2 linked regions of the Oreochromis niloticus genome follow. The protein of the gene in region 1 interacts with the protein of each later gene in a pairwise test. Links are inferred from orthologs where the notes say so. Each region holds a gene or a part of one and is shown on either strand. Other genes may lie near its edges. The genes, in order: erich2 and macroh2a1.

Region 1 (16,276 bases):
CTCTAGATTGCTTTTATAACATCAGGGTATTGTAACGCCCCTTCTTGCGTTTACAAGCACATAATTTGCATGTACAGAACATTCATGTATTTTAAGAATTAACTGCAACATAGAGGTTCCTCCTTGTGGCATACTCTTCCGAATATAGTGATGACCTAAGGCCTTTGAGGTCACCATGGACTGGACATCCTTCCGTCACCTGTAACTAAGCAAACTCAAATACCACAAGAAGCTGAATACATTCAGGCCTTTGCTCAGCTACTATTTTACTGTAACAATATACTCAGCATATGAGTTATGATATATATATATTTAACTCAATCCTTTTAAAGTAGTTATACTGCACCTGTAATAAACATGTTAATATTTGATTATGATAACCCCTATAATATAAATTATAACATAATGCCAGCAACTTCAATAAACACTTTAATGAAATGATAATTAATGCAATGATAAGATGATGGTTATGTAAAATAATCCCTGTAATTCCACATGAGTTAATTCTTTTATCGAATGAGCCCATACTGAAGGCTCAGTGCTGCACAAGCGGATGGACAAGAGGTTGAAAATGAAGCAAGAAAACGACTGCATAGGCAAAAGTGGGAGGCAGATGGATGGAACGGAAGGAAGAGGAGGGGGGAGTAAAAAAAAACAACCCTTGAAACGGGGATGAGTGAGTGAGAGACAAAGATGGAAAAGGGAAAGAAAATGAAGAAATACAGAGTTGATGAGAGAGGAAATGATGAATGGGCTAAAAGAGAGACAGATGGGCCCGGTCCATCAGTGAGATGTGGGGCAGAAAAATGGAAAGAGTAAGTAAAAGATCCGCTTAGGAAGTCAGAGATGATGATTACGATGATGATATACAGACACAGTGAGGCACCCGGAGGCTGTAGCCATCCTTTTAAAGAGATTTCACATTAAATGTAAAACACGTGTAATAATAATAATAATATTAGCTGTAACACCCACCTCCCCTTGGCACATCTTACCATGGCACAAACAAGAGAGCGATTTAACAGCGCAATAAAGTGATGTGTCACTTATGACTGTTCGCAAATGCCACATAAAGTGAAGGAGGTTAAAGAAGAGAATGCTATGAAGACACTTTCCTGGAAATTGGAGGAAGGAAATGAACCTGAAAATAAATAAAAATGAGATACTCCTTTTTCAAAACTGTCACAAATCTTAGATAATGTACTTCTAGTTTCGATCCCTTATGTACGCTTCTAATGCAGTTTTAGTTATCAAATGGTATCTAATTGCTTAATTTAGACCTATTATGTTTTTCCTTATTTTCTGCCCTTTAATGATGTTGTAGGACGTTCTAGGAAACACATATTGAACAGAATTAGCTGATCAACATGTTTTATGTTGTTTTTGTCCTTGTTTGCTCTTTTGCCTTTATTTCAGTGAGAAGATTGTTACTATGTTATTTTCCAGGCACGATGACTCCAAAGACACATGTTAGGTTAATTGGTTATTCTAAAATAGCTGTAGGTGTGAATATGAGTGGGAATGCTTGTGTTAGTCCTGCGACCTGCGTTTCGCCCTGTGACAGGCTGGATGGACTCCAGCACACTCGTAATTGGATAAGCAGGAAAAAAAACGAGGTATATGGAAGTTTGTTGTCACTCTTATGTGTTCTCAGTAAACTCAAAACCTAATCTGTCAGGAATTACCATAGCTCTGTGTAAAGTCTTCAAACAGGTGTGAACATCTCAGTTTCCATCTAAAATCATCTTTATGTTTTCGATGGGTGACCCTAGAAAGAAAGAAAGAAAAAAAGAAGTCAGAGCAATCAGGCACAACTTCATGACCACCTGCCTTTTATTGTGTTGGTCCCCCTTCTGCTGCCAAAACAGCCCTTAACTATTGAGGCATGGACTCCACCAGAACCTTGAAACTGTGCTATCGTATCTGGCACCAAGATGTTAGCAACAGATGCTTTAAGTCCTGTAAGTTGTGAGGTGGAGCCTCCATGGATCAGAGGCCAAGTCAACACCTCAAACTCCTTGTTGTGCTCCGTAAACTATTCCTGAACCATTTTTGCCGTTAGCCACAGCCATCAGGGGATACTGTTTCCATGAAAGGGTGCACCAACAATGCTTAGGTAGGTGGCACATGTCAAAGAAACATCCACATGGAAGGCAGGACCCAAAATTTCCCAGCAGAACATTGCCCAAAGCATCATACTGTGTCTGCTGGCTTGCCTTCTTCCCATAGTGCATCCTGGTGCCAGGTGTTCTCCAGGTAAGGGACACACACACCTTGCACATGATGTACAAGCAAAATTAAATCAGTATGCAGTGATACAGTAGCTCGTCTGTTAGATTGGACAACACAGGCCAGCATTCGGTCCCCACATGCATCAATGAGCCTTGGCCAACAATGACCCTGGTTCACCACTGTTCCTTCCTCTGACTTGCTTTTCATAGATACTGACCGCTGCAGACAGATCCTTAGGCTTCTGACACATCAGCTTTTAAAAGACAAAATATTCACTTCTTAATATATCCCACCCACTAACAGCTGCCACGATGAGGAGATAATGAGTGTCATTCACTTAACTTGTCAGTGGTCATAATGTTATTCCTGATCATTGCATCTATTGTAACCGAGAAAGGCACATGCAGTAACAAACTATTTTTAGCTTCATGTGCTAAACAGGACTTGCGTGTGATCTAGATCTTTCTTTCTTTATGTTGATTTGTGATTATATCACACTTTAATTAGCCTGACTTGGCACTCTCACTGGAAAAGTGGATGTTTTTTTTTCCCAGCAAATAAATCAATACTTGTATCACCTCACTTGTCCTGTTATGTAGTCTGTTTGTGATGTCACAACTGGTATTTGGTGGCTCCCCCTCTGTCCCTCCGACACACACACATCCTCAGACGCACAGCGCCATAATGGAGCAATTATCCTCTCCAGCTCCGAGCTGCTCCTGTGATTGTAATTTGCATTTATTATTAGCCTTCAGTCTGCTCGAGGCCGTGAGACGTGATGGTGGATCGTCACACGCCACATCACACTGACAGACCTGCACAGATGCTTCATAAACACGAGGACACGGTAACATGAGCATGAGTGTGGCACATATACATACAAACCCACACCGCAGAGAGACTGTTTATGACGGCATGATGTTGCTTTGTTTTGTTAATGCTAATCTCTGTTAATAAAGCTACAGCAGGGACTGCGTGTTCCATCACACAAATACATGCTCCACATTACACATTGTGATGTCCTGGAGGAATATGACACGTTCTCGAGCTGTGTATTCTTTCACTGTCACGACAACCTCATCATATGGAAATTTGGGAGGAGCAGAGAGTCTGTCAAGGCGCATGCACCGAGTACAACCAGGCTGCACCCTACTGAAGGCCCTCGCCTGCGCTCTCTTTCACACACACACACTCATACTCATGCACGCAATGGGAATGTGCAGGTGATCAGTGAAGTGTGAAATGATTCTGTTATCATGTCGTCTGTGTGGAATATATTTTCCCATCAAGCTTCCATGGCAGGTGTGCCTGATGGGCTTGTGGTGCTGGTGTGTTTTGGGGTGTGCATTTAGTTTCTGTCTCCATCTGTTATTGGGCAAGAAGAGTTGAAGCGGTGCACGTTCAAACGAGCATTAGTAGCTCGAGTTCAGCCTTTGTCATTTGACACCGAGAAACTCCCACTCCAAAATACTCCAAATATTTCTTCTGAGCTCAATGTATCTGGGGTCTTTGGATTCTGTTGGATCTTTATTTTACTTTGGAATAACAGAGGCTCTCCCATATTAAATGGGAAAATCATCAGGCTTAAAATATATAGCATTTTGCGCACATTTCAGCCCAAATTGAGTATGCTTCTATCTGCTAATGACAAATAACAGGAAAATCCCAAAGCCTTGACCCTTGTCGAGGGGTGCAGTAAGCATTTCTGTACTGTTCGGGGTCGACAGTATGTGTAGGGCATGATTTTGTTTTTACCACAGTCTGTGTAAACCCTCAACCACTGGCTCAGCATTAGCATTTTTTTTTTTTTTTTTGAAGCCAGAAGTTAGCTTGTACGGATGAAAGGGTGACGTGCTAATTTATCAGCTAGCTAGCTTTGTTAGCAAGCCATGTTCATAAACAGTAAAAGTACAATGCACAGGCACGCATTTAAGGCAATTAGTGCTAAGTAACCGAGTGATAAATAAACACCAGAATGTCACTCACTAAAACAGAAGCACAAGTCTCTTGGATGGGCTGTGGCCCACAGCAAGCTGTAATATTGGTCACACAATCCATTAAAACAACTCCAGCAGAGCTGGAAAACACAACAAACTCCTACAAATACTGTGAAGAGGTCCAGTTTAATGACTACTAAAAGTAGTGGATGAGGCTTAGCAGACTCCTATTATGATGTCTCTCAATCACCATGGCCACAAAACAAATTTTCAATATGGATGAGTTATAAAAAAAATCTTTTTCCCAACTCAGAGCTGAGGTGTGGGGAAGGGGGAATGCACAGAGCCCAAAACTGTACAGACACACATTTAAAGTAACACTGCTAAGTAAACGGGAGTTCTTGGGGCCTGTAGTCTTTGAACACACTCCCGTGATCTTTATGTCTACGGGCGATTTTGGACTTACCCATAACTCAGGATTTATGATACTATTGCAGAATCCTCAGATGTAACCTGGTGTACACCTCCCTCGAAATGTCATGTCAGTGCAGCCTGCAACTATTGTGTTTGGCCTGTTCAGTACTCTTAGTCCTCCTGTGCATTTCCAGCTGCTATTTGCTGCAGTTTTTGAATCATCAGTGAGAGAATAACAGTCATCAAGAATAATAATCATAGCACCTAAAAAAGGACTCACAAATCTTAGGAAATTCCTCCAGGGAAGTTTATGAAACTATCAGAATGTGCAAAGAAGTGGAAAAACTGGAATGACAAACCTGTTTGTCTTTGAAAAAACAAACAAACTGAAAACAACAAGTGTGGGAACCCAGGAGGGGAAAAAATCCTGTCATCACATGTAAAACATTGGGACACACATCATGCACAAGCACAAAAAAGCCCGCAATGATGTCGACGACTTACAAAAGTTAGGTTGTAGGCTCTACAGAGGTTCCCCGCATTTATCTGCTTTGTTTCTTCCACTGTTGAATTCAGTTCAGTGCAGTTCAATTCAATTCAGTTATAGTGCCAAGTCACCTTTTATATTGTAAGGTACAAACCTTACAGGTTGTGCAATTGTTGGGAATTTTAACAATTGCCCTTTGAGTAAGGACTTTGCAACAGTGGGAAGGTAAACACCTTTTAAGAGGAAGTCATGTGCGGAAGAACCAGACTCAGGTAGCCATCGGCTACAACCGGTTGAGGGTGAGGGGAGGGAGACAGGGCAAAAGACACATGTGGGAGAGAGTCAGAGTTTAAAGTCAAAATTACAAATGATTAACTGAAAATTGGTTTATAAACATAAGTGAGTGAAAAAGAGGTGAGTGAAGAAAAAACACTCGGTGCATCATAGGAAGCTCCCAGCACTCTGAGTCGATTACAGCATAACTGAAGGAGGATTCACCTGATCCACTATAACTATAAGAGTTATCAAGGAAAAAACGCTTTAAGCCTAATCCTTAAAAGTAGAGAGGGTGTCTGCATCCCGACTCCAAACCGGGAGCTGGTTCCACAAAGAGGAGCCTGAAATCTGAAGGCTTTGCCTCCCATTCGTCTGAGAGCCAAGTGTTTCATGTGGGTGATTACATGCTGTGAGGTCTTTAAGATAAGATGGGGTCTGATTATTCAGGACCTTGTATGTGAGGAGAAGGAGTTTAAATTTGATTTTGGATTTAACCCTTCAAACCCTTGAATGTATGCAATGAAGAAAAGCCAACATGGCAGAAAAATGCTTTCTCTTCATGGTCCTTGTCAGTGCTCTCACTGCAGCATTTTGGATCAGCTGAAGTCTTTTCAGAGAGTTTCTATATAATTATAAAATAATTATATAATTATGTAATCATATTTAATAGCCCAGCCAAAAGATAATAAATGTATAAACTCGTTTTTCAGCCTCACTCTGAGACTGGAGGTTTGTCATTTCAGAGATATTGTGCAAATGCAAGAAAGATTCCAACATATTTGTTTAAAGTCATATCCTGGTTAAAAAGGCTCCACAATTCCTCGCAGTGTTACTGGAGGCCACAGTCATGCCATCCAGAGTAAGTCTCGGGTTACAGACAATAGATTTGAATTTTGAAGCAGAAAATTAGAGGTCATCCAAGTCTTTGTGTCTTTAAGACATTCCTGCATTTAACTAACTGTGTGTTATCTGGCTGCATGGATAGATAAAGTCAGGTATCTTCTGCATAGCAGTGAAAATTTATACTGTGCTTTCTAATGATACTGCCTAAGGGAAGTATACTATAATACCATAAGAACAGGAATCCTGCCTGCAAGATTCCTGGATTCCTACTCTCCACTTTAATAAAAGCCCACAAAGTCTACACTGAAAGCACACATGCACACGCTTCAATGGCATGTCAGCGTGCACGAGACGGCCCCAAGGGAGTGCTCAGTGTAAGAAACTTCATGACCCTGCCTAATTGATATATAGTTTTATGTGTGTGTATGACACCAAGTGAGTGTGTGTAGGAGATGAAGAGCAAAATATGCATTTAACACTCCAAGCTAACCTTACCTTTCTCGAAACAGCACTTCAGACTCTAGGAGAAAATGAACAGTCCTGCCAATCATGTGCTAATTTAGGCTCTGTGGGATGTCTGAGTCTGGAGCCTGTCAGTCTGACAGTCCATATCTCGCTGCGATTTTAAGACAACCGTGAAACAATGCAGCCAAGAGCAAAGGAGACCTCAATCTATTAAACACACACACACACACACAATACCTTGTTGCGTCTTCACATTCTCTCACACACTCACCGACACACACATTCATGACAGAGGGCAGCTCTTTCGATGTATGCGCAGCTAATGTGGCGGTTACAGCTACTTATTGAATGAAATATGGCTGAGATGGAGGGTGGACAGAGGCAGTCTCTCAAGGGCTGTGAGAGAACCCTTCAAACCCTTGAATATATGAGCTCAGAAACTGTAAACATGCAAATGCATTCTTAGTCTCTGCTTTATTTTGTACGTTTGCAAAATTGTAGAAAGTTGAGGGTATAATAGCCGGATATCTTTATAGGAATATAGCATGCAAGCATTTGATGAACCATTATAAAAAATTAAACTGAATTAATGACTCCATACACTGAAATTAAGCAAATTCTCTGATTTGCAAAAAAACTATCATAATAGTCACAAGTTGGCTTGGTCTCCATACTCTGGGCTCACTTAAAAATAATGGGATGCACCAGATTGTCCACTGTGGACGTGTGCTGAGTTTTGGGGTAGACACATAAGGGTATGTAATCACCTTTTCAGAGTATCAAGTGTTTCATTTTTTTTATCCTGTTGAATTTGTAGAACTTCATTTACTGTGTAAATCTTTTGATTAATGTAAGGGAAAAGACAGAAGGGTAACAACAACGGGTAACAACTAAAAAACAAGGCTCTCAGGAACGTAACTCTGTGTGTGTGCAGTCTGTGGGCTAAGAATGTTTACATGAAATGATTTGTTAGTGTTACAAACCCATATTTTAAAATTATATTCACTGAGGAAAAAGAAACACTAAGGAATTTTGCAATGTTATTATTATTATTATTTAACTTATTTATTTTCATTTTGATACTGCATCTCCCCCAAAAGCAGTCTCACAAGACAGCAGTCACCATGAAACACCTATAGGCACTCATTTCTTCTTTTCTTTTTTTTAACTTTATATCTAAATTAACTTTAATTCCAAACGTTCCCAGGACCATTGCTTCCATAAGATAAGATAAGATAAGATAAGATAAGATAAGATAAGATAAGCCTTTATTAGTCCCACACGTTGGAAATTTTTTGGTCAGAAAGTGGGAGTACAAAGTTAAGAGCAGCAAAAATTAAGAAAAACAATAGAATAGAATGAGATAAAACAGATTAACATACTATACAAAATAGAATAAATAATACGCATCAGCAGCTAAATGTTAAAGAAATAATAATAAATCTTTGCTTGAGTGCTATTCATTCATTCATTCATTCATTTCATAGATTTCAAATCATTGCTTGGCATGTCTCTGATGTAATGGCCAAATTTCCGGCAACATTGAAGGCCACGACTGTGCGTTTCTCCGTTGCTTAGTAACGGCTGCTTACCTCCTTCTCCGACAGCTAAAGGAAAGTTACAACCTTCAAGTTTCACTGCAAGAAACTGTCAGAAATTCCCAGAATAGGACCTCAGACTTAAAGCCCTTTGAACTTTGAACGATCAGATAAACAACTTGTGCAACAGCAGGTGTCCGTGACGGTCTGGTTCTACTAGCTACAGGTATGCTGTTTCTGTGAACTGCAGACCTGTTGTTCACAGGCTGCTCACTCTATGCAGTTGTTGGGCAGGACACTCGTTGCTCTAAGTGAGTCACACATTTTTCAACTTTGTCTTTTCACTGCCCTACACATCCTATTAAGAAGCTGTATAATAATAATAATTAGTATTTTTATTGTGTCTTCACCTGGATGTTGCTTTCTGCTAAAGCAACTTGCAAACCGGATGGTGAAAAGATTTTAATGACAACATTAGCTTCATGTGTTCTTCTGCTTGTCATCAGTATCTCATTTTCTAATTTTGTGAGATGACAAAAACGGTAGTTCCTGACTAATCACATTAAAACGCTCATCTGGTAGTTATTATAAGGAGACCGTAAACAGCAAGACTCTCAAAGGCTGCTATATATGTCTTGTTTTGGGCAACAAAAACAAACATTATTATTCATTTATGTACAGTTGTACACGATAAGAGGTGTTTCTGCTCTCAGTCAGAGAACACATAAAATAAGTGATTAGACTGCAACTATGGGATATGGTGAAGGGAATTTACACCCAGTGAAGATGACGGGAAATTAATTCTTTCATTGCTGTTGCAGTGTATACAGTACCTGAACGAGTACCAACACAGACCCATGGAAAATGAGCATCTATATGTAAATGTTGCCCTTTATTCTGGACAGCATTTGGTCTTTACTTAGACTTGTTCTCTGCATTCATATTGTTTTATAATGTTGAGCTGCTCTTTGAGTTTGTGTGTGGCCCACCCCTAGAGCCACACAATATCGAAATTCTTCCAGCCAGTGATCAGACCAATGAGATATGCCTCTGATACAGTTCTGACACAGATCACCTGTGATTTCAGGATTGGCTGGGCACCTGTGGAGCAGCTGGAAAAGAAAGGCACGGAGATGTTAAAGTCCTCAGGCACAAAAGGAACAGGTGGGTACAGGATAAAATGCAAAGCACAAAGGCAAAAGAAATAACATTACAAAGTGATTATGGTGATGATTGTCAGGGGGACCGACAGATGCTCACACACCAGCTGAACCTCTCCTCATGTATAAAGCTAAAGAGGACAAAGCACAGACTGAGGAAGAGAATGCGAAGTGTGAAGACCTTAAGGCTCCAGTGGGGCTTTTAATGAAGGTACAGTAATGCAACTGGTCCAGCTTATCCACACTTCATGCTCTGTCCACAGAGTGCTTTTTTCTTTGCATGTTTCAAATGTCTGAAATGTTTTTTGCTTCAACTTTAAAGTGAAAATGTTAACTTTCAGTTCCTCAGAGCTCTGAAGGACAAATACTTCAAGCTGGCTGTTAAACTCTGTCACATGAGTACGTATCCTGCACCTGTTTGCTATACGTCTGTCTGTCGGTCAATGAATAAGTGAGCGAGCCGCCAAGTTAGTCAATGCTACCTCTTCTCTCCTCGCTCCAGTTCTCATCTACGAGCCAGACAATCCTGAGGCCTCAGAGTTCCTCCCATTGATCCAGAAGAAGCTGCTGGAAGGTGACAGTTGTCTTTGTACAAACACTTTAGGCTGCATGTTACAGACTAAACATCGAAGGTGTTGTTTGATTTTTCCATCAGAGCAAGACGCAGAGAGAAGCAACGAGGAAGAAAGTGATGAGGAGGAGGATGACATTGATTCCGGAAGTGATGAGGACTCCTCTCATAGCTCATCTTGCTCCTCTTCTTCAGCCTCAGATGATTGATTGATTGATTGATTGATTGATTGACTGATAGTACTGATGATGATCATGATGATGATTATGAAAAGGAAAACTATTTTAGCAGACACAAGCCATGCCCTCCTGCTCATATTTACCCTTAAAGCTGTTCGACCTGTCTAGCAGGGACTATGTTACATATATTGTGTTTATTTTAAGGCACACTGCCGCTGCCCACAGTCGCAGTCTTTTCAGTGTAGACACAGTGACAGTTACATATTCTCTCATATTTTCACCTGGAAATAAAGTAGCTCCTGTGGACTGAGCGGATGCCCTCATTTCCTGAAAACGTGAACTGATAAATCGCTGATAGATCACCCGTGAAAATATACGGGCAAACCACACACGCTTCCTGATAAATCCGATAAACCTCCGGTTGCAGGTTAACCTGCAGAAGAGACTGTAAATGAATCTACTTGATCAGTGTCATATCCATTTTGAGAATGATTATGTGATTAAATGCAAAATACCTTAACCCATTCGAACTGATGGTAAAAATGCATCGGAAAATACAACCCTGCAGTTTTATGACCAGACATGCCAAAACTGAACACTAGGAACACACAGCACATACAGTTAGCTGCTAACTGCTCAACACAAAGAAGCAGCTGAAGAGTTTCGGCCTATAGATGTGATGATATGTAAATGCTGCATTCATGTTCCTCATTCTTGTTAATATAACAGATATTTAACAGTCAAAAATCTTCTAAGCGGTTATGTTTGATCATCACTTAAAGTCTCATCAGCAGTCTCCAACTATTGGTCTCCTAGCAGCAATCTGGCCACTCTGCATCCAGCTTGTAACCCCTTTGATGCTGACTCTAGCAGTTATGTTGAAACATTACCTAAACTGATTTTTAAATTGTCACCGTCATACAAAAACATGTTTATATATCATCATTCAGATTGCATGAAATTCAACAAAAAAAAAAAACAGCACTTTTTTCCCTGGAAGTTTACACGTCTACCACCATGTTTGCTGAATCCTCTCATGGCTTTGATTTCAGGATTCTTTAAACATCAGCTCTCTCTGTGTGAAGATGATAAGCGGTGCTGCATGACAGGGAAAAGATGTGGTATATAAGGAGTATGTAAATGTCACAGATTTGTGCATGAAACAAGAGAGACCAAAGCCATCATTTCTTACTTGTTTTATTTTTCACTTTTCACTGTGGATGAGAGCTGTAATGTGACCCAAACAAAAAAACTGATTCTGCAGTCCATCTGGTCCACTATCCAGTCTTTTGTTATGGTGGCAATTAAATTAGCACAAATAAAATGTTAGCCTATGTAAACTCATAAGCAGTGAAGACCTTTTATGTGCCCTGTTTTAGTGCAGATGTAAATCCCAGCAGCTAAGCCTCCTTGTTGAAGGCCATCAGTCTGAGTTTATCTTTATGCATCTCCACATGTCACTTGTGAGTGGAGAAAGATATGATTGGCTCCTGATAAAGGCTGAATAAATTGCAGCGGCTGAATGAACATAACGGCTGGTCCCTGCCCATGCACTGGATCCAGAGGCAGGCGTGAGGATGACAGAAAGGACACTAAGCCAGCGCCCGCCGTGCTTCGAAGTCTCGGCGTTATTGTCCGTGGCGAGGTTAAAGCAGTGAGTAGGTCAGAAATTATGATGTAGGCAATGTTTTCATCTCATGAAGGTGAATATTACAGACAGTGCTTGCATGGATGGATGGCTCCTGGATGGCTTGTCCTGCTCACTTTATAATAAATGTGTCTATTCTGGAATAAATGGCCTAACAGCTTCCACAGGTCCCCAAAACCCAATCAATCAACAGATATGAGGAGATGGGCCGGATGTTCTGAATATGTATCTGTTGGTATTTAAAAGCCCAGCTGTGCAGTTTCCTTCCAAGGTCAATTTCTATGTAACCAAATTTACATTCAAGTCTCCACCCTCATCCCTGTGACACCCACCCACACCTGGAGACACAAGAGCTCGCCCACACACACATACACGCACACAGGGGCGGGTAAACGTCATCGGTATTTTTCCTTTTGCTTGTTTGGTTCCTTAAAGTGGATTGTAGCTGTCAGTAGCACTCAAGGAAGCTTCATTAGCCGTCAGGGTGGGAGGCAAGGCTGTGACTCATGCCTGCGTGAAGAGACCAATGGGCAGCCGGATCCTCAGATATAAATAACGAATAAAAATATTCTTGAGTGAGAAAGGGTCACTTGCGCGCCGCCGGATGGGATTTTATCAGTGCGCTCTGTTGATATTCCGCCATCGCCACCACTGGACTGTTTCTTGTCGCGCCTTCGGGTGGCAGTTGTAACATTTAAGTTGTACTTTGTCTGGACTCGACAACCTGTGCGCCCCGTGAGCCGGTAAGATCCCTTCTTCTTTCCTTCTCCAGCTGCACCCTTCGTGTCTGTTTCTTCAGAGACAGAGGTTGGGGGGAAGATGCTTAAACCACTCCACTTTTCAGCCGCTGATATCGTGAGATCAGCTTTGGAGGACAAAATGTGAGAGCAAAAACTAAACAATAATAATAACAATAATGATAGAATTCTCACATAAATCATTCCCAGACGGGAGACAGAACGAATTTATTAGTTGTTCAGCCTCTCTCTCTTTCTCTCGCTCTCTCGCTGCCTCTCTGTCTCGTGATGACATTGTAGTAAGGGTGGTGTTCAAAGCATATCTTAATTGAAATGTCGATTACTGAGTCAACACATGAATGGGGAACGGTTATTTATGTGGACACTGTCACCTCATTTTATCAATATTTGCTGTCTGTGAAGTATCATTTTTAATGCATTCGTTTTATTCTGATTTTCTGATCATCTCGGTGATTTTATACGATGTGAAACGCGGGCCTTACGTGTTCTTTCTTTAATATTTTGGTTTTGATCGTTTAAAATGTCAGCTGTTATATAAAAAAACAGATTTTTCTTTTTAAATTAAACGATGATTTGGTTTTAATGATCCATAGGAACTTAGTGCAAGAACGAGCCATGTTTCTTTTGCTAGTTCCCAACTTAAAAAAAAAAACAAAACAAAAAAAAAAACAAATCTGTAAATCTGTGGCCCATTTTCTGTAAACCTGTGTCATGCAGCAGCGCTGGGGTAGTTAACAGCTGACTGGATGCAACACAATCCGAAGAGTGTCTCTAAATAAAACCGATACCCATGCAGCCATTTTATCCCCCAAAGTATTGCGATGTGCGTCTTGGTAGCGCGTTGTGCGCAACTCACTCCAAATTGCGCGGCTTCAGCCGTTTAAAGGGAGAATGAAGCGCTCCCGGTGACGGACGGAGCATCGTTTTCTGATCAAAATCTCGGCCTGCCATTTAAACGGCACGCAATTATCGTAAATCTGACACACAGCCTCTCCTAACACTGAGTCGTTTTGTTTGCAGCTGAATAATTCCCGCACCTGGAAACCAAAGTAACAGAGGACTGATGGCTACGTCTGAGCCGAGAGCTGCCGGCGGGGACCAAGACCCCAACTCAGCTAATTTAAGACCTCCGACCACAAGTAGGTCCCCAAACTCCTCTCCCTGTTAACAACACTTTGGCTTCGGCCCCCCGAGGCTAAATTGTGTTTAAGGTTGTCAGTCTCCAGAGCGCTCGGGCTGTGGTGAAAGCCACTCGGTGCCTTGCTCAAAGACACTTCTGCAGCTCGATCTATCGCCAGCACAGCGGTTTAAACCCAGGTTCACCCTCCACGCGCCTCTGTCTGCTTCTCTCTCTCCCTCTCTGTCTCTCTCCCCTCCTTCCCTGTCTGATAAAGGAGAGTGTAGCCCGGGCCATTTGCTGTGCGGGCTCCGTCGTTAATCATTCCGGTTAAAAACAGAGCCATCACAGCTGCCTGTCGCTGTCTGGCGGATCAGCGGTGCGCGCAGAGCGGCGGACCTGGCAGAAATAATGCGCCATTAGAGCGCTGGCAATTCTAACGATCCCAGAGCGTTTTTCCTGAACGTGTTCTATTTCAAAATATGAGTTTCAACCGAAAAATAAAAACACAAAGATTTGAATATTTGATCCTGTGCGCCTTTCGTCTTGATATACAGCAAAAAAAAAAAAAAAAAATTGATATAAGAATTGTCTGTAGTAATTTGTTTAGGCATGCTTTTTTATTCGCATCCCTTTTTAAAAAAAGAAAAAGAAAAATCTAAACCTGTGCATTAACCTGTGGGTTAATTAATCACGTCGAGCTTTTGTCGCATACACAAAATTGACTCCATTAGAGCACACTTGAGCAGCCATCTGCAGTCCAAAGCAGGGAAATAATTGCAGTTTTGTTTTGTTTTGTTTCAGAAAAACGTTACAGGGATAGCCTGCAGCTCCTTTTGTCCAGTGTGCAAATACATGCTTTATTTTCCCTTCCTCGTTACCGGATACAAAATTTCGAAATCTTTTATCTGTGGCCCTTGAGTGCCAATAAACATATAAAGAAAAATTTCTTTAATGAAAATTCGAACCAAGAAAAAGTCCTTTTAAAAAAGGATGTTTGTTTTGTCTGCTTGCTCGTGTACTGCTGCTGCTGCTGCTGCTGCTGGATGTTGCCATTATCTCTCTGCCACGCTCCATCTCACGCCTGGCGGCTTTGCGTGCGCGAGGGTCTGTGTGTGTTACCGTGTATGTGTGTGTTTATGCCTCGGCCTCCGCACCAAGGGCTGTTCTTTGTCGGGATGAAATTGCTTCAGTAAATTTAAATACTTGTTGTTGTTTTTTGTTTTGTTTTGTTTTTGCAAGTTCTCCATCAGGTACATTCGCCTCGTCGCTTCTCACTTTTTGCGCCGTGCGCTCTGCATCTTGTTCCCTCAGGCTTTCTGCTCCATCTCAGCTCACGCGTGTCCACGCTCTGGTTTGTGTGTGCGTGTGTGTGGCACTAAGTGTATATGCATGCATGTGTGTGTGTGTGTGTGTGTGTGTGTGTGTGTGTGTGTACATCGACGCACTACGCTCCAAGTTTGTGCTTCAAGCGCCTGCTGTAGACTTCCAGACCAGAGACATTACCAGCTCGCTCCACTCACATACTGTGATCCACTCAATTAATTTCTGCCCTCCTCCGTGAGCTCATTTCACGGGTGTTAATTCCAGTCCGCCCTTTGGCTGGGTGTGTGAGCCGGCGTGGATTTGCCGTGCGGGTCACTGTCGGTCCCTATTGATTGAACTCAAATCGGAAGTGTTAGCAGACTCATCCCCCCTTGTGATCAAAGGGAGTGTAAGGAGGCTAAATCCGTGTTCAACAAAGCCAAACAGTCAGTGTAATTCTTTACAGAAAATATGAATATACCCAAACACCCCACAGTCGCACACCTGGCCAAGAGTCGCTCCTTCACGCTTTCATTTATTTATTTTTTGTTCCATGTGCTCGCTGTGCTCCATCATCCGCCTCACCACATTTGCTCGCGGTCTCCACGCTCAGAAACTCAAACGTTCATTTTGTTTTAGCCAACGAATACGCGTGGATGCACGGATGCACAAGGAAACTGGGGATGAAGATTTGCGGTAAGTTTTGTTTCGCCACGAAAAAATGGTTTAATCTTGTAGATGTTATTTAAGAAAATGAAATAAAGAAATAAAAAAAAAATTTAAAAAAGATTTTTTTTGACATACCATGGCTCTCAATATTGAATTCCGTTGTGACTGGTTTCCTTCTTTCTTTCCTTCTGACCGTCTCACATTTTCTTTTGCGCTTTATTATGATCTTACTCATTTCGAGGCCCTCAGAAATATAGGCCACATTACAGGTTGATAGAGCGGGGCCGTCCTCCACACTGTCAGTGTGCGTTTCCATCTTCCAAAGGTCACTGGACATTAGCCTGTAGGTCTGCTGAGGAGAGCCCCGGATCAGCCCCCCCGCCCCTCCTTGCACCCTCCCCTGTCTTTCCCATTTCAGCACCAAGAGAAAAATCTCCGGGACAAGCCTGGAAACAGAAAGCAGAACAAGCCTTAAAATAACTCGTAACGATTTGCTTTTCCTATCACATCCGATTATTTTTTGAGTCACTTTTCTCAGGCTTACTGTCAGTGTCTCTAATAGCCCCTTTTTTTTTCTTTTTTCTTTTTTTTACAGTGGAGGGTGTGGATGTGACGTTTATTTTCTCAATCACATAAAGGAATCTGCTTCTTTCAGAGGCTCACACGATGGAAAGTGT
Region 2 (16,136 bases), on another chromosome or scaffold:
CTGAGTGCATCAGAAAGGTCTTCTTCTTGGGTGCTGGTTTAACTCACTGCGTTGAGCAGGTGACCAAAAGATTAAAGACTAAAAAGGCCAAAAATGTGTTTCAAAAATAAAAGTTTTCTTCTTCTTTCCACTTAATCAGGCAGCTCATCACCTGAATTAAGGGGCGTAATTTCCAGGGGGGTTATGACCCCCCAATAATCAGACCCAACCAATATAACCCCCATTAAAATTATGAATTATCTTGCATTAATAGGCTGTTGATTCTTTGTTTCTTTACTCATTTCAGTTATTACCAGGAAAATAGTTGCATGTTTAATCATCTGGAATTTACCCAGATTTATTTATTTATTTAGACAGAGATCTTGACCCCCCCAATGTTCAGCACAAAGTTACACCGATGCCTGAATTACCACCACCGTCTATTGTAAGGGTAACCGAAGCATGCTGTGTGACAAATTTTGTTTTTCAGATTAGTTTTTACACTCCTAGACCAAAGATAAAACACGTGTCTTCAACATGTATGAGCTAAATCTTTGGTGCATCTCCTGGTGCTGAGAAAGTTATGCAGCTAATATGTAGGCAGAAGTCCTAAATAAAATATGGCATTTATTAAAGCATTAATACTCAAACGGTGGAACCCCACCACCACCCACGTGATCTGAATAAAATATTTAAGCTGCAGGAAAAGCATAGAAACAACTGTAAAAACAAACAGATAATGTCGCTGGCCACCCTTCATCCAAAGGTTTATCAGCTGTTTAGGTAAGTAGTTCGGTAGGTACCAGAATTCATCTAATACTTCATGACTGTTAAAAACTGTATATGTGCAAATCAAACCTGAAAAAAGGAGATTTAACACGAAAACAAACAAACCAAAAAAAAAAGCTGAAGGACATTCAAAGACAGTCAAGGCTGTGCAGGACTCACATCTGATAGATGTGTGCACCATACTGATGCAGTGCGCACAGTTTCTCACCAGAGGTCAGACCTGAGCTGTGTAGTAAGCTCGCCTCTGTTTGCATCTGGCATACAGAGAACTAAAGTTAGTATCAGTGTGAAAATACGCTGCAGGGACCGGATGAAATCGGACTAACTAGATCTCATTTAGTGCATAAAAACCTAAATCAGACTTAAGATGACTTTTACAACAAATCAATCGATCCATCAAATGTATAAGTCTGCTATGCAGCATTTACAGTGAAACTATTTTACCTAAACTTGTGATATATACTTCAGTTTTCTGATAAACCAATTAAGTTATTTATGTGTGTAATATAATAGAAAAGTACTGAGGATCATGTCTCCTCGTTCCTGTGATTCCCAACCAAAAGAAAGACTGAAATAACAGAAAACATAATATAATAACTAATATTATAATTTAAAAAACTGCACTGTAAATTTATTTTTATTAAATCATACAGAGTAAAACTCGCACACAAAATCAGATCCTATGGCTTGAATAAAATTTGGTCACACCATGATGGTGGGAGTAGAGTGAGTTGAAATTTGTCGCCCCCTCCTGGAGGGTCTGAGTCTGGATCTGAAAGTGTAGGCTGATAATACAAAGAAATAATAAATTAATTAAAAAATAAAATCTGCCAAGACTTTCATTCAGTTATGGCTAACTGATATCAACAGTAAAATAGTAAAAGAAAATATGTCAGCAGACTACACTGCTGATATAGCACAATCTGTCATGTAATACAGGAACGGCGTCGTCCAAAGGAAATAATGCAGTTGCCAATTTCATCAGTACAGGATATCATAAAATGTGTCATAAATGCATTAATTAAACAATTTAGAATCATAGCCAATAAAAGAATAAACAGCAATAAATCTACAGACTAGAGATGAGAGAAGCTCCTCTGAGATGTAAGAAGTGCATCACCTCTCTTTCCACATTTTCATATTATCCGCAAAAGTGTTTAAATCATATTTTTTACAGTGTGCCGATCGCCTGTTTCACAATGATTGGTGATAATAAACGAAGCCACATGTTGCTGACAAATCTGAAAGTCTTCTTGGTAAGGGAGTATTAAGTGATAACTGCACGAGAAGTTACAGCACGGAAAATAGGGAAAAGTGCATGCACGTGCATCCTGTAGGCATTCATATCATCTCTGTAAAGCTGCAGTGTTGTACATGGAAGTACAGCACTGTGAAAGAGTTTGACCACCCCTCATTTGTTCATATTTAGCTAGAAAATTTTAAAAGATTTAGAGATTTATTGAAATGAGTGCACACATACATGGAAATGCACATACAGAGAGCTTTGTAACGAGCTTGAAAGTGAATATTTAGTATGACCACCTTTATTGTTCGTCATCATCTGATGTTTCTTAGGCAGCTTTCTTGTCATTTCTTTATGTAGTATTTAGAAACAGTTCTCCCGGCATCTTAAAGGACATCCAAAGCTCTTCTTTAGATATTGGCTGCCTCGTGTTCTGTTCTCTATCAACTGCTTCAATAATGTTGAGGTCCGGGCTCTGGGGAGGCCAATCCATGACTGACAGCGTTCTGTTGTGTGTTTTTGGTTTTTCTGCACTGGCAGTGTTATGAAAGAAATCTACCAACATGGCTCTTTGGACTTAAATTGTGAGGAATAAATGTTTTAAACTGCAGAAAAAGCTCTGGTAGTTCATCGCCAGCCTACCCAGTAATTAAACAGAGCATTTTTGTTCATTCACAGAAAATGCTCAATTATTTATTTATTTATTTTACTTTGAAATCATTGTAAAAACCTGAAATTTATAAGTAATTGTTTATCTATTTCATAATTACTTTGGTGTTGTGTGAATGATCACGTGGGAGATCTTTATCAGTAGCAAAAGCTGTAAAACTTATGAAAATACAGTTAAAGGTCTAAAGTTTATGCCGTCCATCACATTTTCCAAAGCCGTCCAGTGGGCCAGATTGGAGAAGCTTACTGTTGTACCTTTTTCCCAACCTCCTCCGTACATGTTGATGTGTTGATCCAAAAATGTTACATTTTGATTCATCACACCATCAGACCTGCTGCCACTGATTTTCAGTCTGGCTCTTGTGTAATTTGGCATACCTCAGCCTTTTCTCACTGTTTCCTTTTCTTAAAAATGGCTTCTTGACAGCCACCCTCCCACTTAGACCACTTCTGGTCTACTGAGGCTTCATTGTAGATTTAGATGGATCAACTGAAGGGTCAGCTGCATCTCTCAGATCATATTTAAGACCTTTGAAGGATTTTTTTCCCCCATTTTCTAAGAATGTGACTTTCAGATACTGTTTATTTACTGCAGATAGTTTTTTAGGCCTCCACAGTTTCAGCTAATAGTTGTTTGGAAATCACCCTATTGGTACAAAAACTCTATTTTATTCCTGTCAAACTGTGTTACTGTTGGCATTTTCCATAGATTCAACTAAAGAAAGTAAGACCAAATTATATAGTAACAAAATGTCTAAAGATGAAATTTAACCCTTTCACGCAGATTGGTCACTACACTGGACAGCTATTCAAAGGCTGTTGTCTTGTATTTGTGACAGTGTTGATGGTATACTTGCACATAAACCACTACATTGGACGCTGATGTGTCACTCCATACCCTGCCATGTTTAAAAACAAATGAAGTTCAAAATGCACATACAAGTTCAAAAATCTTATTTTTCATGCCTAAAGATGAATAAAAATACTGAAGAAAAAAATCCTGAATGAGGTTGTCATAATTCATGCATGAAAGGGTTAAGATGGGTTCTTGACTAATTTGTTTTTTTTCAGCAATAAGTCTTAAAAAACACTCTGTTATAAGGATTGGATTGAAAAAGCAGCCAATGTCCACAGAAACCTTTGAAAGACCTTCAAAACACCAGAAAACCAAACTATTGCTCCACAACTTTTTTACAAACTACAAGTAAGTTTGGCTCCTTGGACTCAAACTATAAAGGAATGAAAGGTGGCTAAAGACTGTTGCCCAGAACTGTACTTCCAAACTGAAGGTTGGACTTTAGATAACAATGATTAGATAACAATATACTTTGCCTTTAGGATATTTTACTATAAATAGAAGAAACAAAAGTGATAGTTACAGGTACTGTCTGTACAAAGCCTTACTTGTTATCTGTGCATTATAGCTTTATTGTTGTTCAGGCGAGGGGTGGAGCAAAGGTACGACCACAGCCACCACAGACTAATGTCTGCCCCTCTGACCATTTCACACAACCAATGGTGAAGCCCATTAGGATCAGCAACTTACATGAACCCCCCCAAAACTTTTTTTCTTTTTCTTTATAGTGTTTTGCAGAACCATCCCTCCATATACTTCGTATATGGATACATTTTAACAGCACACCCACTTTTTTAAATTACAACTATGCACTTTCACCATGCACTGCCATGTTCCTCCTTTGCCATGATCACTGTAGTTTATTTGGGGTCAGTACTCTGAGCTCCACATTCACAGTTAAAATAAAAGTATTCACTGTTAACTCTTGTTTTTATCTGTAAGTTGTAAAAATAAGCGAGAGCTAATTTCCCTGAGGTGGTTTTTACTGCAGGGAATGCTAGGAGCACAATGTGTACAGCATACAGACCCACAGTGTAATACAGCATTTTCAGATATACCACTAGCCTATTAGGAGATGCTTTCTACAGTAAAACACAGCAGTATCACATATGCATATATGTAATATTTATGCACCATTCATTCAAATAGGCTTTTGACGTACAGATCTTCAGACACATTTTCCTAAAGTCTTGTTTCTTTGGAAATTTAAGCATCTCCACGAGAATGTCAACTGGAACTGCGTGCTGGCGCGGTTAGGAGAGGGCATGGCTCTGAATGAATAAAGAGTTCAAGATTTTAATTCAGTTTGAAAGCACAGCTGAAAGAGTTCCAGGTCTGCGTTCACTGAGCTGTGTGAGAGTGAACGTGGCTGCACTGGTTTTAAATGGTTGGAATTTTCTTGCATTAGTGAAATGTTTGGTTTTTTATGCTTTTTTTTAATCATGTGCTCCCATGCCCCTGTAGTTTCTCAGTCATCTGGGTCATGGTCGTCTATAGAGCTCGAACTAAGAAGACAAGTGGAAGAAGAATATGTGCTCTTGAATCTACACTTTTAGTTATTTTATTTTTTGTTGAAAGCTAATTGCCAGCCTATTCATTAAAAGCTCTTTTCTGGATCTTGACTGCTGTTTGTTCTGTTCTCTGTTAAGATGATCTCACTGTTCAGGTTAACGTTCAGGTCTGGGCTCTGGGGAGGCCAATCCATGACTGTTAGTGTCCCAGTGTGTGTTTTTCTATCCAGGTATGCTTTTACTCTACTGGACGTGTGCACTGCAGGCTATGGTGAAAATTGAAGCTGTTGCCAGTCAGATGCTTTCCAGATGGTGTTGCATGTTGGTTTAAAATCTGGGCTTCAGTGACCAGAAGATAGATCAAATGAAGTTCCAGATGCATCTCTCAGGTCCTGTGGGCTTTGAGCTTTTCCTGTTTCTTAAGGACATGACTTTCAGATATTGTTCATTTGCTGTAAATAGTTTTTGGAGGCTTGCCATTTCTTTTTTTGTCCTCTATTCTTTCAGTTTCCTTGTTTTGAGGACACATCGCACACCATGCTGAAATATGCATTGTGTGCGTATATTATTGTAGCGTTTCAGCTAATAATTGTTTGGGAATAACCACTTGTAGAAATATATTTTAGGGCTGTTAAACTGTGTTCTTTGGCATTTTTGCAGATTTAACTGAGGAAATTAGAATAAATAATGTGTTTTATGACAAGCTGCTAATAATAAAGTGCACAAAGATACCATTTAAAATCGGTTCTTTGCTAAGTTGTCTGATATGTGTAGACACAACATTGATTCATCCCTTGAGTTAGCTGCCTTTGCTATGTTTGAATCATTTGTAGGTCAGTGTTAAGTGTTTATCAAGCAAAAACCAGTTCTCTGAAATTAGTCAGGTACAAGAACTGGACAGAACAGGAGTGAAAATGAGCCAGAATCCAGAGACAAACGCTGAAAGAAATCCCAGAGAACTATTGCTAAAGACCACGTTAAGAAATGACAAGACAATCTGGCTCATTAGAAGCAAAATATAAGGATATAAATATAAATGATTCATGTTTTCCTGCTTTCCCTGCTACAATTGGTTTCTGCTTTGAAACTTCACTCTGCAAGTAGACACGACTGCACTGAGAAGCTTCAACAAAGAGAAAGGATCCTGCAGCGAACAGTTATGATCATTAATGATTAATCTGGTCGTTGGTTTCTATATTTCTCAGCGAATCTAAATGAAAAACGATTTCCTAAAGACTAAAATTTTATGGTGTAGAACAAAGTACGAAAATAAAATATCCAAGCAAATCTGACAGCGTTATTCACTTAATGAGACAGCTATCTAATGCATTGGATCACAGCACTGACCGGCCTCCGCTGTGGTTTCAACCTTCACCTGGATCTCACGTGGACCGCAGGAAAAAAACACACCGAGCAGGAAGGAGTCTCGTTTTCCGGGCTTGGGTCAGCTGACCGGGAGTCAGCCAGTGAGAAGTCGCTGGCTGTTGTAAATAAACTGCTTCTTTCCAGAGCTGCTGAACAGCAGCGGCCGGTGCGGGACTGTGAGCAGCGGGCAGACATGTCGGTGGAGACAGCAGCCAGCGGTAAGTCAGCGCAGATTTGAAACGCAAACATAGCGTCAGATCGGGTTTGATCAGCGTGAAAACGCTATTAGTAAAACTGAGCACAGCTGTCTTTTTCCTCACCTGTAGGCCCAGTGATGCAAAAACAAAGGCACCTGGTGCGTTCAGGTACACGCAGTTCAGCTCGCAATATATAAACTCTGTATAACACTCCTGTAAGGTGCACAGTTGAGCACCAGTTCAGCTAAATTAACGATTTATTTTAATATTTCTTATTAGGATTACATGCCTGTTAGTTTTGGTTAGATAATGGCGTTATAATAATAATATAGGTCAACATAATTTGCACGTAAATTATAGATATTCAGGCTCACCAGCAACCGCTAATAAAAACAGATATATTTAAGTCATTCTCCAATTATTACAATAGCCATTAAGCCAAACCTTAATAGCCATTTGACGTCTCTAGCTTGATTTATGACATAAAAAGACAGCTGGGCACAGATAAACAGAGTGCCGAGCAGAATTCAAGTTACTAAGTCAACATCAACATCCAGACTATAAATTAAAGAATATAAGATAAGTACTTGTTAAATTTGCAGCTTGATTTTCCCAGTAATGTTACGGACCAGCTCTAACATTCCTGTTCCCGATTGGGTTGTTACTCAGTTCTTCCACGTGTTTTCAATCGTTCTCATAAACTGATTATTGTTTAATTATTTTTTTTAGAAAGGTTCTCAAACCTCTAACATTTTCTGTTTTTTGTACGACCTTGTGAAAATTAATAGGTTGTTTTGCACTGCTGGACAAAAACTGTGATTTAAAAAAAAAGTATGTGAATGATTGTTGTGAAAATAATTATTAGTTGGATGGATGTTTGTGCTTTTTCTTTTACACCTTTACTGCAAAAAGAGAGGGGCCGAGTGTATGTAGGGCAGCCTGATCCCCAAGAATTTCACTAAAAACGTCCACACTCTAATAATAGGATTGTATTTAATCCTCCTGTGGTACAAATTTGCACATGCACTCAGATGATTACTCTGCAATGGAAATATACAAAGAAGTTTGAGACAAAAATGTAAAAGTTTTTTGAGAAATGACAACATTTCAAAGAGAAACTTAATGTCTTAAATGTAATTACAAAAATATAATAAAAAAAAATAAATCTCCTGTTATCAAAGACTCCTATTTTGAAGGACAGCTGGAGTTAGCCCACTTTAATTTTCCAATAAACTTTATTGCTCTGTAATTAGTTATTTTGAGATGGTACACCTCCTTATGATTTTTTGCTTTCAGAATCATAGTTTGATTTTTTTTATTTTAAAATGCGCTTTACTGGCAATTCCTGATAGATGATAGTGCCTTACAATAAGCGCCTTGAGGTATCTGTTGTTGTGATTTGGCACTATGTAAATAAAACTGAATTGAAACCGAATTAGATATTTGCTGTAGCATCTACATGTTTTAATTCTTGTATGTAATTTTGTGTTTGCAGGTGCGAGGGAAGCTGGGGGAAGCAGAGGAAGCAGCGGCCGACAGGTAAGAACAGGTCGTCCTTGCAGCCAAACACCTTGCTGTTATCATCATTCAACTGAAAAGATTCACAAACGGACAAGACGGCAACACAATACAGCGAGTCATCGACAACGCAAGCACAGCCCTCGATCTGTTATACATTACATGAGGTTTTTTCCTCTTAGCTGTCTGATGTGAATTGCTGGATTACTGCTCATCTGTTTTTGGGGAGGAGGTTGTTATGTGTATGTTATGTAATCTTGCCAAACAACTGCAGATACTTTGATGCGTGCAAAGCTTCAAATGAAACCTGTCTCATGTTGCCCTACATATCTCTACATTTCCTTTTTTTTTATGCAGCCCGGGGGGCCGAAGCACACACAGAAGCTGATGTTTGGCAAATCCTTTTAAAAAAAATCAAATCTGTGAATCTCTCAACTGTCCTGTGGGCTAAATGCAAGTCAAATTTTAGCTTATTCTGTTAGTTTTCTGCATGCACTACTTGTTCCTGCATATTTTTCTAAATCACGTCTTTAAAGGTTGAATTTTCATTTTTATAGCTGCGGTCTGATGTGTCTAATTAGGAATCTTTCCATCTGACTGCTGTTTTTAAACCGTGACTCCACTGAGACTTGCCCTCTTTGCTGTATGTTGTTGACAACAGGCTTGACCTGATAGACAAGTTCCTTTTTTTTCCTTTTTTTAAAAAAAAAACTATAGAGGCAGTAAATAGACAAAAGCAAATAATGGATTGTGTGTATGATCGTGAGAAAAGGAGTGTTTTAATCAGTGAAGCAGTAGAGACGGGTTTTGTTGTCACGTGGAGCAGAAAAGCAAAATGAGAGTGTAGCTCACAGGGAAATGATAGCTTAGTAACTCAATTTTCAGAAAAAATATATGGGTAATAAATGTAGTAAGCAAAAATGTCCCAATAAATGCACAAGGAAGCATCGGTGTATTTGCATCTTCATGATCATGATTGCATCTCTAAAAACGACCAGCTGAGGCGTGAGACCAGCACGGCATTTGTGTGACATTGTTCTCTCTGTTGTCGTGGCTTGGATGGGGGCAGCTGAGGTGAAAAGCTGGCATTTTAGAGAGTCTAGTGAATGTGACATCAATCCTTGGGCTTATTTCCTGCTGAGTGAACTGATCTGCGTTTCTCAATGCAGATGCATTTTGTTGGAGTCAGCGTGCACATTTTCTGTGTAAACGGCTACATTTAGACCTTTCTAAACAGGTGTCAAATACTGTTATCCTTTTAACTGAGATGCTCTATATGATGATTGAAAATGCACTATAAATGTGGGCTGTAATTACCTAAGTAATAAATGAATAATGCCACACAGTATTTTAAAATACACAGAGAGAGTTTTCAGTCTTACTGTTTCCCCTCCTGCTGCTTTGCATTCTGGGTTATTAACTTCAGGCAGTTCCTGAAAACCCCACACTCAACAGGAACCACTCAGATCCACAGTGTTCTCATCCTCCTGGGCAGATAGAGGTTTCAGTAACAGTCTCGCTGTTGTTTTTGAGACATTTCTGTACCATGAGAGGTTTCTGTGGGGAAATGCTAATATAGCGAAACATCATGAGATTGCATTCTCATCGCCGAAGCAACAGAGGGCTTCACACAACGCTGTTTCTTTTTCTGTCTCCCAGGAGGGCCCCGGAGGACTGTGGGACTCTGTGAAGAAAGCCGGGTTTGTCATCGGATCTGGGATCTTATTCTTGGCTGCGTTCGGGAACTCACTGACATGGTATGTCACATCAGCAAAACAACAGTTTGCCCTGACATAAACTGGAGGAGTGGCATTGCCAGGTTGTTACGTTATGCAGAGTAGAAAGAGGCAAGCGCTACAGAACAAGGAGTCGGACCCAACAGATGAGAACTGGATAGGAGGAGTGATGCAGAGCCAGGACTGGATAGACGAGGACAGGACCGTACATGTCAGGCTGGTAAAGGGTGTAAACAGAGCACAGCATTACATGAAATTAAAAATGACATCACCTGAAATTATGTAATATGTACAAGTATTTCAGATTGGAGTCTTTGCTGGGCTAGTTGTAGCTGCAGGGTCTCATGTTTGACACACTCTTGGTAGTTAGATTTTTGTTTGGAGGGTTTCATATGGGCTGCCGGAAAGGAGAGAGCATGCAAGTACAAGATGTGTAGACAACTGTGTAACGAATAGTTTCCACAGAGGTTTGTTTAACATGTAATCAGTTTTGTGAATTTAAAACTGAGCTGTAATTCCTTCTTCAGGCACCTTCAGAGATTCTGGGGAGCTTCAGGAGATTTTTGGCAGAACTTGTGGACCAAGTTGTACGTGGCATACGAGGGCCATGATGCTTCTTTGTTCTTCCTGGGTAAGAAATAAAACCCAAGTGCAACATTGCAAATGACTGTGGATGGTTAAAGGTGTTTCATAACATTGTTTATGGTCATCCCAAGTACTGCAGACTGCGTTAAACATGCAAATAACTTAAATGACCTCCTTTTGTATCATATTATTTAGGTGGTTTCATCGATGTATAGATTTTTTTTTCTACATTTTGGACTTATGGTTTTGCACAATAGGTGGTTTCCCTCATTCAGATGTTATCTAGAGTATGTAGGACATAGGATGCGTGCTAGGTAGGGTTTGTATTTTCAGTTCAGTGTTTTCAGACCACATAACATCACACTATAATAATAATGAAAAAAGACCAGCCACTCACTAAATACTATCAAAGCTAAAAACTCAACACACACCATGCATGAATTGATTCCCTGGAGAATATGTGAGTATCTGAGACAAAATGTCCAATTTTGCTCATAATCTCAACGAATCATTCCAAAAATTTCCAGATCCAGAGGCGGATCGACTCCAAAAGTTAATCACTCCTCAGCATGCTGGAGCAACACCTTCGGTGATATTTTCATGCAAACAAACAAAAACAGCAAGGTGCACAGTGATGATGTCATTGTGGAAAATTTTGCCGTGGATTTAACTTGAAATCTTCTCCTTATGTGTTTGGAGTTGTGCGTAAATGAACGCATAATGAAGGCCCCGGTTGAGTTAAAGGTTCTCTAATAGTTATCTTATTTATCTCCATAGGGACCATGCTTGCTCCCACTCTGGCCTTCTGGGGGTCAAATGCTCTCCTGCTGTGGGTGGACATCACTGGTACACCCTCCTTCATCACCCGCTACCGTATCCAGTTGGACAAGAACAACCCAGTAAGCTCCAGATTTGTTTTAGATTTTGTTTTATCTGCACTGACACTTGTTTTGTTTTTTTATGCCGTCGACATAAAATGTACAAGCTTCATTTTTTGTATTTTATGATCACATCATATCTTTTTTTAAGTGAATGTGAGATTTAAAAAAAACAAGTACATTTTAATTTTCTGTCCTGCTATTGGGCATGCTGCTGTAGGCCGCTGCTCTACTTAAAGATCCACACAATGCGTGTGTGTGCAGATGTGGTTGATAACATCTGCAAACGAGGGGGCCCTCAGTGCTCTCCACATGCCCGTCTGACCAAAGTCCTCTAACTGTGTTTGATTAACAGATGTTGTCGGACACCGCGGAGATAAAGAGGGGCATTACTGATAACCAGGGGTTACTGTGAAAAGTGTCCTTGTTAGTGATTGTTTTTCCAGTGCACAAACTGGAAACTCACTTTACCCAAGCCAAAAGACTTCCAGTCTGTTGTTTTTGCCCTATTTTCTCTAATTTTCCCATCAGCGAGTGTGTTATCGCTTCAGAAATCACTCCTCCTCTGATTTGCATGTACTCAGTGGAATTTGCCGCTGTTACAGCTTAAGATAAATTTCCGCGGTCCTTAAATTTTATATCTTTAATGATGAGGTAATCTGCGAAAAGCTGCTGTCACAGTGTTTCTCTGTGACTCCGAGCAGAAATACTGCGGGTCAATGATCGAGAATAGCTGTCTGAACTTGGGATCTACTGATCATAAACAAACCAGGATGTGCTATAATGGAACAAGATTATATATTAGTTAAAAGTGCTTGTGTACTTTAAAAAGCAATATAACTGTCTCGTTAAGAATGATAAAATTATATTACTTTATCAAGCAATATAACTGTTTATCTAAATTATCTGATCAATGTGTCAGAGCCCATGTAGTGATCACACATTTGCTTTAGAAACGGCTAAATAACAAGTGCATGTCACTGGTGACTGAGAAGAGCTGTAAATTTGAATGTATAGTCACACCATTTCTAAGTGTAGAAACATTTATTTATGTTAAAATTAGCATTTTGTGGAGCTATTTACACTGGATGTGCCATCTTCAGATGTAACATAGAGATAAAAATCAATGTCATCTACTGTAGATAAACAGAGCTAATTCACCATAATAGTTTTCTTAAGGCACTTTATACTATAATGTAAACACTGTATAGATTATAGGGAACCAATGTTTCCCTTGGCAACAGTGGGGAGAAAAAAAGGCCTTTCTAACAGGAAGAAAGCCACAGTCGTGGAGCTATCTGCTGCAGCTGGTTCAAGTAAAGGGAAGAAGATATCAACTAAATGAACATTGAGAGAGAAAACAAAGAGCATTCGATAAAGAGTCTGCACAGAAACTAAGTCTGCTGTTCGGAGAGTGCGCCTGCGTGTGTGTGTGTGTGCCTGCGTGTGTGCCTGCGTGTGTGTGTTATGGAAAACACACAGATGTACAAAAGTTCAGTGTAAACTTCAGAGACGCACTGTTCTCACACTCTGGAAAGTTCATTATGACATGGCATGAGTTTATAACTGGGTTCCAAAGGTTGGAGGTAAAAGGGTTAATTAGCTGATACGGATATCCACTCAATGACCACTTTATTAGGTACATCTTGCTAGTACTGGGTTGGACCCCAACAGAAAGGCCTTAATTCTTCATGACAACAATTCAACAACGTGCTAGAAGCAGTCCACAGATATTTTGGTCCATGTTGACATGATTGCATCACTCATGCACATCCATGATGAAAATCTCATGTTCAATCACATATCCAAAGCTGTTTTATAGGATTTTTAAGATTATTATTAAGATCTGGTGTGGAGGCCATTTGTGATGTGTGCGTTATCCTGCTGGACGCAGCCACTGGAAGACTGGTACAGGGTGGCCATAAAGGGATGGGCATAGTTGGCAACAATACTTATCTTGCTGAATTGGTACCGAGGCACTCTAAACATGCTGAGAAAATGTCGCCTAGGGCTTTACACCAACACCACCAGCCTGAACCGTTGATACAAGGCGGGATGAATCCATGCTTTCATGCTGTTTACACTGAATTCTGACCCTTCCATCTGCACATTTCTGTAGAAATTCATACCAGGCAGTGCTGCTCAATGGATATTTTCTCTTTTTCACACATTCTCTGGAAACCCTAGAGATGGTCATGTGGGAAAATTCCAGTAGATTGAATATGGCATAAAGTGTTTCAAAAGCTGCCAAAGTCACTTCAGTCGCCTTTCTTCCTCTTTCTGAGACTGAACTTCTGCAGATCATCTTAACCATGGATAAATGTCTAAATGCACTGAGGCGCTTTCATGTGATTGGCTGATTAGATAACTGCATTAATGTGGTTGGACGGGTGTACCTGCAGCATAAACAGAAACAACAGTATGGAAAAGGATAAGACATGAAATAAGAATATATATCGGAAGCTTGGTAGTTTGAATCGTTTTGAGATCGTGTCTAGTTTTGACGCCTCTTTTGACCTCTCCATTTGTCCTCCAGGTGGATCCAGCTAAGCTGCGCCAAGCCTTGAAGTGTGTCCTCTTCAACCACGTGGTAATCTCCGGGGCCATGACGGTGGTCGTTTACTACCTGATGAGCTGGAGAGGAAACCCCTGTGGCCCCGAGCTGCCCACCTTTCACTGGGCCCTGATGGAGCTGGCCGCCTTCTCCATCTTGGAGGAGATTCTCTTCTACTATTCACACAGGTAAAGAACATTTATTTTTTACTTTAAACACCCATGACACATCAAAATGAAACATGCAATCAGTGGATCGTTGGCAGTAGATGACATTTCTTCCTCATTTCAGAGATGGCGGTGATTGTGATGTTAACAGTACGCTGATCTCTGCGTTTCTTTCACGTGCATGCAGCATGCAGTCACTCTCTTTTATAGCTATATATGTTTTAATTCACCATAACAGGACATGGACATTAGGTGCGATCTGTATAAACATTGCTTGTAGACTAACCCTACATAAAGCAATGCAACCTGCAACAATGTCTATCAGCGTTAATCAGATTTTTCTTATGTAAGCTCAGAGCCTTTGCCAGCGCATAGCACAAACCTTGACGCAGGATAGGGTGCGGTCGTTTGATGTGTTCAATTTGTTTCTTTTAATTTCCTCAGGCTGTTCCACCAACCCAGCCTCTACAAGCATTACCACAAACAGCACCACGAGTGGACCGCTCCCATCGGTGTCGTCTCCATCTACGCTCATCCTCTGGAGCACGTGGTGAGCCTTCCTCTTTCTCCTACTTGTCATTTTTCTCTGACACGCGCTCTAGACTTGAGCATCAGGCTGCAGACAATGTGAGAATAGACAGAAATTACAGTCTAAAATTCTCTGCTGTGAGAGAACAGGGAATATACGTGTTCAACAAAAAGAAATGAACTCTTTCCCCTGTGAGCGTCAAAGCAGCTGGAACTATCTCACGTAAATCAAACAGATTTTTATTTCTACCTTAGGAATGTGGTCAGACCTGATCCTGAAAGAACTCCCTGCACTCTTAGCACGTGACTTTAGCACAGTTAGAGCTGAGCGGATTAGTCCTTGAAGTATCCCTGCTGGCTCAGTGATCGCCACTGTAGTTGATGTTAGTGTTGAACAGCAAAAATGGATCAAACGTGCAGATACGGATCACACGTGTACATTTGCTGTAAATCATTGAGACTATTTCATCTTTAAATATGCAAAAGAAGAATAAATGAAAGAAAGAAAAATTGATAATTCACACCTCCAAGTCTCGCAGCACTTTACTTCTGCAAAGGGTAAGTGTGTTTCTGTTAAACGTGCTGGATTCTTCTCTGCTGTTAGGTCTCCAACTTGTTGCCGGTGGTAAGCGGGCCAGTGCTCCTGGGCTCCCACCTGTCCACCACCTCCCTGTGGTACTGCGTAGCTCTGGTCAGCACCACCATCTCCCACTGCGGATACCACCTTCCCTTCCTGCCTTCTCCTGAGTTCCATGACTTCCACCACCTCAGGTGAGTTTACCTGTCCTGTCTTAGGCTACATTCACACTGCAGGTCTTAATGCTCAATTCCGATTTTTTGATCAAATCTGATTATTTTATTTTATTTTTTATCTGCTTGTTCACACTACAAGTGTGGGGTGGCTGTGGCTCAGGTGGTAGAGCAGATCAGCTACTGATCGGAAGGTTGGTGGTTCGATCCTTGGCTTCCCCAGTCTGCAGGCCAAATATCCTTGGGCAAGAAACTAACCCCGAGTTGCCCTCCGATGCGTTCATCGGAGTATGAATGTGTATGAATGTAGTTTACGTTGCACTTGAGTTTAGAAGTGCTTGTATGAGGGGGTTGTGAATGGGTGAATGAGGCATGTTGTATAGAGTGCTTTGAGTACTCTGGGAGAGTAGAAAAGCGCTATATAAGAATCAGTCCATTTACCATTTACCAAGTAAAATGTGACTGCAAACGTGCTCTAGTGTGAACCCTCAAAGCGGCCCGCATGCGCAAAAGAAGACGTCACACACAACGCGCTCTGTTTAGACCCAGACCAAACAGTATTGTTTGACTGATGGACCTTAATATAAAGACTTGTTTCGGACTTTACGTTTCCCAATTTTGCTTTAAGTTATAAAGTTATTTACATATGGCCTAATAATGATCCTTATTGCTGTTTTAGAGAGGAGCGGTGCTTCAAAGCATAGTTGCAGATTCCTGTCAGAATCTGCAGATTATACAGTACAAATAAAATGTTCACAACAGTTTCACTAACATCTACACAGGATGGCCAGGAAGTGTTCACGATGTCTTC

The links.
Region 2: the proteins of erich2 (region 1) and macroh2a1 interact in binary tests that used the Homo sapiens proteins (3 or more experiments, as listed by UniProt). The two-hybrid records come from large-scale screens. The link is inferred for Oreochromis niloticus from reciprocal best matches to the Homo sapiens genes ERICH2 and MACROH2A1.

What each region holds. Positions count from the first base shown.
Region 1 is NC_031982.2:8,032,373-8,048,648, forward strand, and holds erich2 (glutamate-rich protein 2), read left to right. Parts: upstream 1-8,223; 5' UTR 8,224-8,418; exon of another isoform or gene 8,419-8,503; intron 8,504-9,279; 5' UTR 9,280-9,325; coding exon 9,326-9,356; intron 9,357-9,432; coding exon 9,433-9,563; intron 9,564-9,693; coding exon 9,694-9,751; intron 9,752-9,854; coding exon 9,855-9,926; intron 9,927-10,007; coding exon 10,008-10,132; 3' UTR 10,133-10,864; downstream 10,865-16,276. Other genes in the region: glutamate decarboxylase 1, read left to right, coding at 13,572-13,647, 15,570-15,626.
Region 2 is NC_031975.2:23,506,952-23,523,087, forward strand, and holds the start of macroh2a1 (core histone macro-H2A.1), read right to left. Parts: upstream 6,504-16,136; 5' UTR 6,395-6,503; intron 1-6,394. Other genes in the region: faxdc2 (fatty acid hydroxylase domain-containing protein 2), read left to right, coding at 6,606-6,630, 6,739-6,777, 8,105-8,148, 9,787-9,884, 10,391-10,494, 11,226-11,347, 13,863-14,068, 14,492-14,597 and 1 more. UniProt on the Homo sapiens protein: Variant histone H2A which replaces conventional H2A in a subset of nucleosomes where it represses transcription. Nucleosomes wrap and compact DNA into chromatin, limiting DNA accessibility to the cellular machineries which require DNA as a template.